Tribolium castaneum: one gene and its partner. The protein of the gene in region 2 interacts with the protein of the main gene of each other region in a biochemical or structural test. Links are inferred from orthologs where the notes say so. Each region holds a gene or a part of one and is shown on either strand. Other genes may lie near its edges.

What was found.
Region 1: the proteins of Lis-1 (region 2) and nudC form a complex in vitro, tested with the Homo sapiens proteins (3 studies listed by BioGRID). The link is inferred for Tribolium castaneum from reciprocal best matches to the Homo sapiens genes PAFAH1B1 and NUDC.

Annotation. Positions count from the first base shown.
Region 1 is NC_087398.1:987,739-992,185, reverse strand, and holds the start of nudC (nuclear migration protein nudC), read right to left. Parts: upstream 2,981-4,447; 5' UTR 2,873-2,980; coding exon 2,789-2,872; intron 2,739-2,788; coding exon 2,661-2,738; intron 2,614-2,660; coding exon 2,275-2,613; intron 2,268-2,274; exon of another isoform or gene 1,965-2,267; coding exon of another isoform or gene 1,939-1,964; intron 1,887-1,938; coding exon of another isoform or gene 1,550-1,886; intron 1,506-1,549; coding exon of another isoform or gene 1,404-1,505; intron 1-1,403. Other genes in the region: uncharacterized protein LOC656652, read left to right, coding at 1,404-1,505, 1,550-1,886, 1,939-1,964; mahj (protein mahjong), read left to right, coding at 3,449-3,561, 3,608-3,758, 3,810-3,947, 3,996-4,123, 4,170-4,345, 4,397-4,447. UniProt on the Homo sapiens protein: Plays a role in neurogenesis and neuronal migration. Necessary for correct formation of mitotic spindles and chromosome separation during mitosis. Necessary for cytokinesis and cell proliferation.
Region 2 is NC_087399.1:2,663,199-2,666,586, forward strand, and holds part of Lis-1 (lissencephaly-1 homolog), read left to right. Parts: intron 1-492; coding exon 493-1,419; intron 1,420-3,388. UniProt on the Homo sapiens protein: Regulatory subunit (beta subunit) of the cytosolic type I platelet-activating factor (PAF) acetylhydrolase (PAF-AH (I)), an enzyme that catalyzes the hydrolyze of the acetyl group at the sn-2 position of PAF and its analogs and participates in PAF inactivation.

The DNA of each region.
Region 1 (4,447 bases), on a different chromosome or scaffold from region 2:
TACATCAAATCACAACGGACAATTAATAAACAAAACAGAAAAAATAATTACAGCTCGCAGCTCGTGAAAGTAACTTCCTTGTGAAAAAATCGTCCCTTTTGAATCAATAATTTTTTCGCCGTGCACGGCCGATTAAAATAAATGAGAAGTTTGTTGTGTAAACACGCATCCTCTTGTTTTCCCATTATTTAAAATAAGGTAAACAGACTGGCATTGACCCGAAAACACGATTAAAATTATAACTTTAAATGAAGATTTTTCAACAAAAAATCCAAGAGTCGCACCACCCCGGAAATTTTCACTCACATGTTTATGTAAGCAAATGAGGAAGTAGTAAAAATGAGCGAATATCACTCGAATTAATTCAGAGCCGAAATGCTCGCTCTAATAATTTCACCAAACCCGGGAGAAAGGATGATTATAAATATTGTTGGTGATAATGATTCGTTTCGTGCATAGTAACTATTCAATAAATTAGAATATCTAGATTGTCTACTGAGATGTGCAGTGGAGGTCGCCTTCGAACGCAGTTAATTGATGTTGATTAATACCGCACTCATTAATCGCTTGCAATTTACATAAACCTATAAAGTTTAGGTCGCTAAACCTTCACTTGAAACTTTGTAATTTATCTTCCAATTGTTTCGTCCGAATTGTACCCTTGAACGTTTCAATATTCTTCCGACTACCAAAAAGCACCAAGCACGCGTCTCTGTTTGAATTAAGTGATTAAAACATGATGCAACAAGAAAATCCACAAATGTCGTCACTTGCAATGAGCAGAATCCGGAATGTGTCAAAACAAATATTAATGGTTTGAAGCAAGGACGGTTCGATTGTGAGAAGACGTAAATAAAAACATCGCCGAATTCCAGGAGAGAGGTTACAGTCATTATCGCCTGAAAATCATCGGAAGAATACCGAGAAAAAGGCCACTAGTGAAAAATTAGACTACAAACGGCGGCCGTGACCGAGATAAAAATGTATTAGCGTGTTTCACTGATTACTTGTCAATCTTCCCAGCTTTTATTAAGCGGGTGATTAAATTCAATGCTACCGAATCAAACAATAAAATGCCACAATGTGTATTTTTACCAACAAAGCCAATTATTACAAAATGTCATACAAACACGATCTATAAAATAAAAATGAGCGTCACGTTCGGCGCTCAATGAAAAAAACACGGGCTTAATAAGGAAATTGTACATTGATTAATAAAAAACGAGGCCGAAATCAGAATTAACATAAATTAATCCGAAATTTTTATGAACGGTACGAGAATGTACCGATTTCGTTTTGACACCTGCTTACCGTCTTGCATAATGCGATGAATTAACAATAAATACGCGACCTTCGATATTAAATAACCACTTACTTTATTACATTAATATTGATTTTTGCAGACTCCGGCAGAGCTCAACAAGAGCTGGCACATCCCCAGACCCACACTAGCTAGAAGCTCAAAGAGTTCGCAGGGTTCGACGTCTAGCAATAATAGCACACAGGTACAAATAAAAAAATTAAGACAAGAAAATCATTGGATTTTTAGAGTGCAAGGTCCGGTTCGTTACTACTGACAGCAGCAAATCTGGCCCAAATACAAAATCCGGACACGGACAAAAACACCAGACAACAAAACATTCAGTATTACCTCGAACAAACAAACAACAATGATCACATAGCACTGCCTGTTAACGATTTGAAGAAACCAGACCCAGATGCTGTTTCAGTGGCAAGTTCGATGCATTTTACCGTAGTTAATATGAACACGAGACCTGTGGTCAGGCAAAGAAGTTTCTGTCGAAAACACCAATTGACGATTCTAGTTTTGACGATGTCCGCTTTGTTTACCATAGGGATCTTGGCGGCGATATTTCTCTTAGAAAGTAAGTTCTTCCGCTTTCATTTCAGCCAATTTCCAATTTTTTATTGTTTCAGTGAGGGCGAAAAGACAACGGTACTAGGATTAGGACAAGCATCGACATTTCTCCAAAAATTGACGAAGCATTGAAATGTCGTGCGCACTTATCGTAGTTAGTTATTTAATTCCCTATTTAATTAGGTTTAGCAACTGGACCAAAATTGTGGTTGTTCTAAATCATAAGCTATCCATAAGTATTTTTTGATGTTACTGTGATATGTAAAAGCAATCATTACAGCATTGTATAGTATTTATGAACAATTTTAAGGCAGGTCCCGAACCTCCTTGGAAATCTTGTAAATTGATTTTTAATTAAATTATACAAATAAATTTTCTACAAAACTAAGACTTACCTCAACGTCTTGGAGAGTCTGCGTCCACCTGTACTTGTCCAAATCACATCCATTGCCACTGTTTGGCTTCAATTTCCCAATCTCTGAGGCATCCTCATCCTCTTCAATTTTCTCAACAGCTGGGGCCCCATTACTCACCCCACTTTTCTTAGCATCTAACTCGGCTTGCAACTTTTCAGCCTCAGCATCAGTCAATTCGGTGATTTCCGCCGGTTTTACCTTCTCCTCTTCTTGCTGTTTCTTCTTTTTGGCGGCTTCACGTTCCCGACGCTCTTTTAACTCCGTCTCGTGTTTCTTACGACTAACTTGTTCGTATTTCCTAAATGTGCTCATTACTAACTAAAAACCAGGTCATTATTTTTCGAACTGGCTTTACCCCGGACTACCTTTTCCCATGCTCCTTCCTCGCCCCCGGTGAAAAAATCCGTCTTGCGGCTTAGAAAACTCACAAAAGTGTCCAATAACTACAGTTTTGTCGTGATTTTAAGGTTAGAGTAAACAGATCGAGGCTCACCTGCGAAGCGCCGTGCGGATGGTGCTGGGCTATTGACAGGAAGAGGGAATCGAATTGCTCAGTCTGATTATCATCGCCACTCATCTTGACTGGACTTTTTTCGTGAAAAAATGGTCAAAAATCGTGGAAATTGCTAGACTTTTCTTCTATCGACCAAATATCAATTGTACCAACCAAACCAATCGGCGTGAAAACTTCCAAAAACGGTGCTTGTACCAACATTGATGGGTCAACCGAATGTGGGAATTTTAGCCAAACGGGGACCACCCTCAAATTAAAATTAAAACATGCAAAGGGGGTGTATATTTCGATAGTGCGAAGCTTATTTCCTATTCGTTAAATTTCCCAAGGGTTTATTTTAGCTCTGTTTTTTTTTTGTACCATTGGCGGCACTTTTTTAGTAACATACGTGCTCGATTTTTCAATGGAAGCCAAGAATTGTGTTTTGCGCTTTGTGAATGTGTATTGCGCCAATTTGTGAAATAATCAAACTGATTACGATTTTTTACAAGCCAGAAGTGTAGAGTTCACATTATCGCATTGTTTTTGCCAGTCTCCCGGTGTCCTAATTATCTCACCTTGCAATTACGGAACTGTAAAGTATTTTAGGTTATGTTAAACTACCTCATGCCCTTTATTTTATAACGTTTTGAGCCAATAATGTCGGAAAACAGCAATTCGACTTCTGTTATGTCAGAAGTCACAACTCTGATAAGAAACTGGGAAGATGAACATACGGCGCCTAATTATGACCCCATTCAGACACTCACCAGGTAGATCTTGCCTTAATTTGGCAAATTCTTACCCTTTTGTTGGCAGATTGGCCGAAATATGCGAGGTGGAGACTGAAAATTACCTGAAAATGGATCCTGACCCATTTGATGAACGCCACCCTTCACGAACTGATCCTGACTGCAAACTTGGCCAAATTTTAAAAGCGCTTTTTAGGAAGGATATTTTTATGAACAAAGTATTAACTCTCCACAAAAACATAAAAAGACACACATAAATATTTTTTCAGCTTGTTAACGATTATTTGAGAGAAACGTACTACTCTCGGTCAGGAATCACAGACAAGGATGTTGATCAGTTGAATATTGCAGCTTGTAGGTTGATGCTAGACGTAATGCCTGGCTTAGAGACATCAGTGGTGTTTCAAGTACGTGTCAATTATTTTTTTGGGGGGAAAACTAACGACTAGTTTCAGCCCGATATGGATAATTTGATTCACCGTTTAATTAAATGGACTACAAATTCAATAGAACCTCTGCAAAGTTACGCAACGGGGCTTTTAGCTGCTGCAATGGAAATTCCAGAAATTGCCACACGTTTTAGGTAAGTTTCCGCTTTGGTCTTATCGCAGTTAATTACCAAAAAATAGGGAACAAAACGGACGACTTGTGCCTTTACTACTTCAAAGACTGCGTAGGCTTCAAAATTCCTCGGAATTTTTGACCACGACAAATACTCGACCTTTTGCACACTTATCTTCAATGAAGTCGCCCCCTTATCGCGGTGACGGTGTCGTAAAAGTTTCACCCTCTGGTATTAAAAGGCGTACGTAACGACACCCTATTGTATTTTACCCTTCAATAATTATTCTTACAGCCCGCGAGAATGGAGTTATTCCAAATTCGAAAACAACACTTAATAAAGAAA
Region 2 (3,388 bases):
TAAAATTACAAAACCAACGAAAAATAAAAGTAAATTCTAAAATTAATTGATTTATTATTATTTTTTATTAATATCTGAACTTTGAATTTGTCTAATTTTTAAGCAAATAAAACTATTTTTTTGGGTGTATTTTTTTCAAAAATTCAAGTTTTTGGAATTTTTTGAAATTATCGGTTATTAAAATAATTTCTGTATGTTATAGTTTTTTGTCTTAATTTGTAGAAATCGATTTATTAATTTTTTTTTATTAATTTGTCGCAAAATCAGGTCTCGGAATTTGCTGAGTTTGCTTTTGTTTCTTTAATGACTCTCTTTATTGATTTTAAGCAAAACCTTGAATTCGTTTGTTATTTTTACGTCGTTTGACCGTGAGCTATTGATTCATGTAAATTTTCTTTTATTAATAAAATACTCGTCTCGTCCATATAATAAGACCCCCTTACATCACCCACATTTGTGTTTATTTTATTACATCACTTGTGATTTTTGCAGTAACAAAGCCATCGCTGATTACCTCAGTAGCAACGGTTACATGAACGCACTAGAAGCGTTCAAAAAAGAAACGGACATGCCCGGCGAACTCGAGCGCAAATTCGGCGGTCTTCTCGAAAAAAAATGGACATCTGTGATACGTCTCCAGAAGAAAGTGATGGAACTCGAATCGAAACTCCACGAAGCCGAAAAGGAATACATCGAGGGGGCACCAACTCGCGGCAAACGCAGTCCAGCCGAATGGATCCCCAGACCCCCTGAGAAATACGCCCTGACGGGGCACCGAGCCCCCGTCACACGTGTCATATTCCATCCGTTGTTTAGTCTCTTTGTATCGACAAGTGAAGATGCTACGATTAAAGTCTGGGATTTTGAGACAGGGGAATACGAGAGGACCCTCAAAGGCCACTCGGATGCCGTTCAAGACGTCGCTTTCGACGCCACAGGAAAACTGCTAGTTTCCTGTAGCGCCGATATGTCGATTAAATTATGGGATTTCCAACAGAGTTACGAATGCATCCGAACGATGCTCGGGCATGATCACAATATATCATCGGTGGCGTTCATGCCAGCGGGGGATTTTGTCGTTTCGTCAAGTCGCGATAAAACCATCAAAATGTGGGAGGTTTCGACCGGTTATTGTGTCAAAACCTTTACAGGACACAAGGATTGGGTCAGAGTTGTGCGGCCATCGCCCGATGGTCAACTCTTGGCCAGTTGTTCCAACGATCAGACCATCAGAATATGGCAGGTTTATACGAAGGAATGTCGAGCTGAGTTGAGAGCACACGAACACGTTGTCGAATTCGTAGCATGGGCACCTGATTCGGCTGCGAATGCCATCAATGAAGCGGCAGGAGTCGATAATAAGAAGGGGGCACATATGGGACCGTTTCTGGCGTCGTGTTCCAGGGATAAGACGATCAGGTGAGAGGGGGCCGCGTTTTACGCCTAAACTAGACGGCCGAAAATTTTGATAAAATCACAGCTAAGACAAAAGGGCGTGGGGCACGTCGTGGCCAAATTTGAACAAAATCGAACGAGCGGTTTCCGAGATATTGACACTTGTAGCTGGGAGGGGGGGTCAGCTGTAACACCAAAACTGGGCGTTCAAAAAATTTGGAAAAATCACAGTAGGGGCAAGGAGGGCTGAGCTACGCTTGGTGCAAATTTGGAGGAAATCAAATCATCGGTTTGCGAAATACTGGGGGTTGAATTTGAGGAGATTGGTCACGTGTAACATTGAAACTCTACGTTCAAAAAATTTGGAAAAATTACAGTAGAGGGCAAAGGGGCTGAGCTATATCTAGTACAAATTTGGACGAAATCGAACGATCGGTTTGCGAAATATCGGGGGTTGAGCCTGGGAGGGGGGCCGCTTGTAACACCGAGACTGGGCGTTCAAAACATTTGGAAAAATCACAGTAGGGGCAAAGGGGGCTGAGCTACGCTTGGTGCAAATTTGGAGGAAATCAAATCATCGGTTTGCGAAATACTGGGGGTTGAATTTGAGGAGATTGGTCACGTGTAACATTGAAACTCTACGTTCAAAAAATTTGGAAAAATTACAGTAGGGGGCAAAGGGGCTGAGCTACGCTTGGTGCAAATTTGGAGGAAATCAAATCATCGGTTTGCGAAATACTGGGGGTTGAATTTGAGGAGATTGGTCACGTGTAACATTGAAACTGTACGTTCAAAAAATTTGGAAAAATTACAGTAGGGGGCAAAGGGGCTGAGCTATATCTAGTACAAATTTGGACGAAATCGAACGATCGGTTTGCGAAATATCGGGGGTTGAGCCTGGGAAGGGGGCCGCTTGTAACACCGAGACTGGGCGTTCAAAACATTTGGAAAAATCACAGTAGGGGCAAAGGGGGCTGAGCTACGCTTGGTGCAAATTTGGACGAAATCAAACCACCGGTTTGCGAAATACTGGGGGTTGAATTTGAGGAGATTGGTCACGTGTAACATTGAAACTCTACGTTCAAAAAATTTGGAAAAATTACAGTAGAGGGCAAAGGGGCTGAGCTATATCTAGTACAAATTTGGACGAAATCGAACGATCGGTTTGCGAAATATCGGGGGTTGAGCCTGGGAGGGGGGCCGCTTGTAACACCGAGACTGGGCGTTCAAAACATTTGGAAAAATCACAGTAGGGGCAAAGGGGGCTGAGCTACGCTTGGTGCAAATTTGGCGGAAATCAAATCATCGGTTTGCGAAATACTGGGGGTTGAATTTGAGGAGATTGGTCACGTGTAACATTGAAACTCTACGTTCAAAAAATTTGGAAAAATTACAGTAGGGGGCAAGGGGGCTGAGCTACGCTTGGTGCAAATTTGGAGGAAATCAAATCATCGGTTTGCGAAATACTGGGGGTTGAATTTGAGGAGATTGGTCACGTGTAACATTGAAACTGTACGTTCAAAAAATTTGGAAAAATTACAGTAGGGGGCAAAGGGGCTGAGCTATATCTAGTACAAATTTGGACGAAATCGAACGATCGGTTTGCGAAATATCGGGGGTTGAGCCTGGGAAGGGGGCCGCTTGTAACACCGAGACTGGGCGTTCAAAACATTTGGAAAAATCACAGTAGGGGCAAAGGGGGCTGAGCTACGCTTGGTGCAAATTTGGACGAAATCAAACCACCGGTTTGCGAAATATTGGGGGTTGAATTTGAGTAGATTGGTCACGTGTAACATTGAAGCTCTACGTTCAAAAAATTCGGAAAAATTACAGTAGGGGGCAAAGGGGCTGAGCTATATCTAGTGCAAATTTGGACGAAATCGAACGATCGGTTTGCGAAATATCGGGGGTTGAGGCTGGGAGGGGGGCCGCTTGTAACACTGAGACTGGGCGTTCAAAAAATTTGGAAAAATCACAGTGGGGAGTAGGGGGG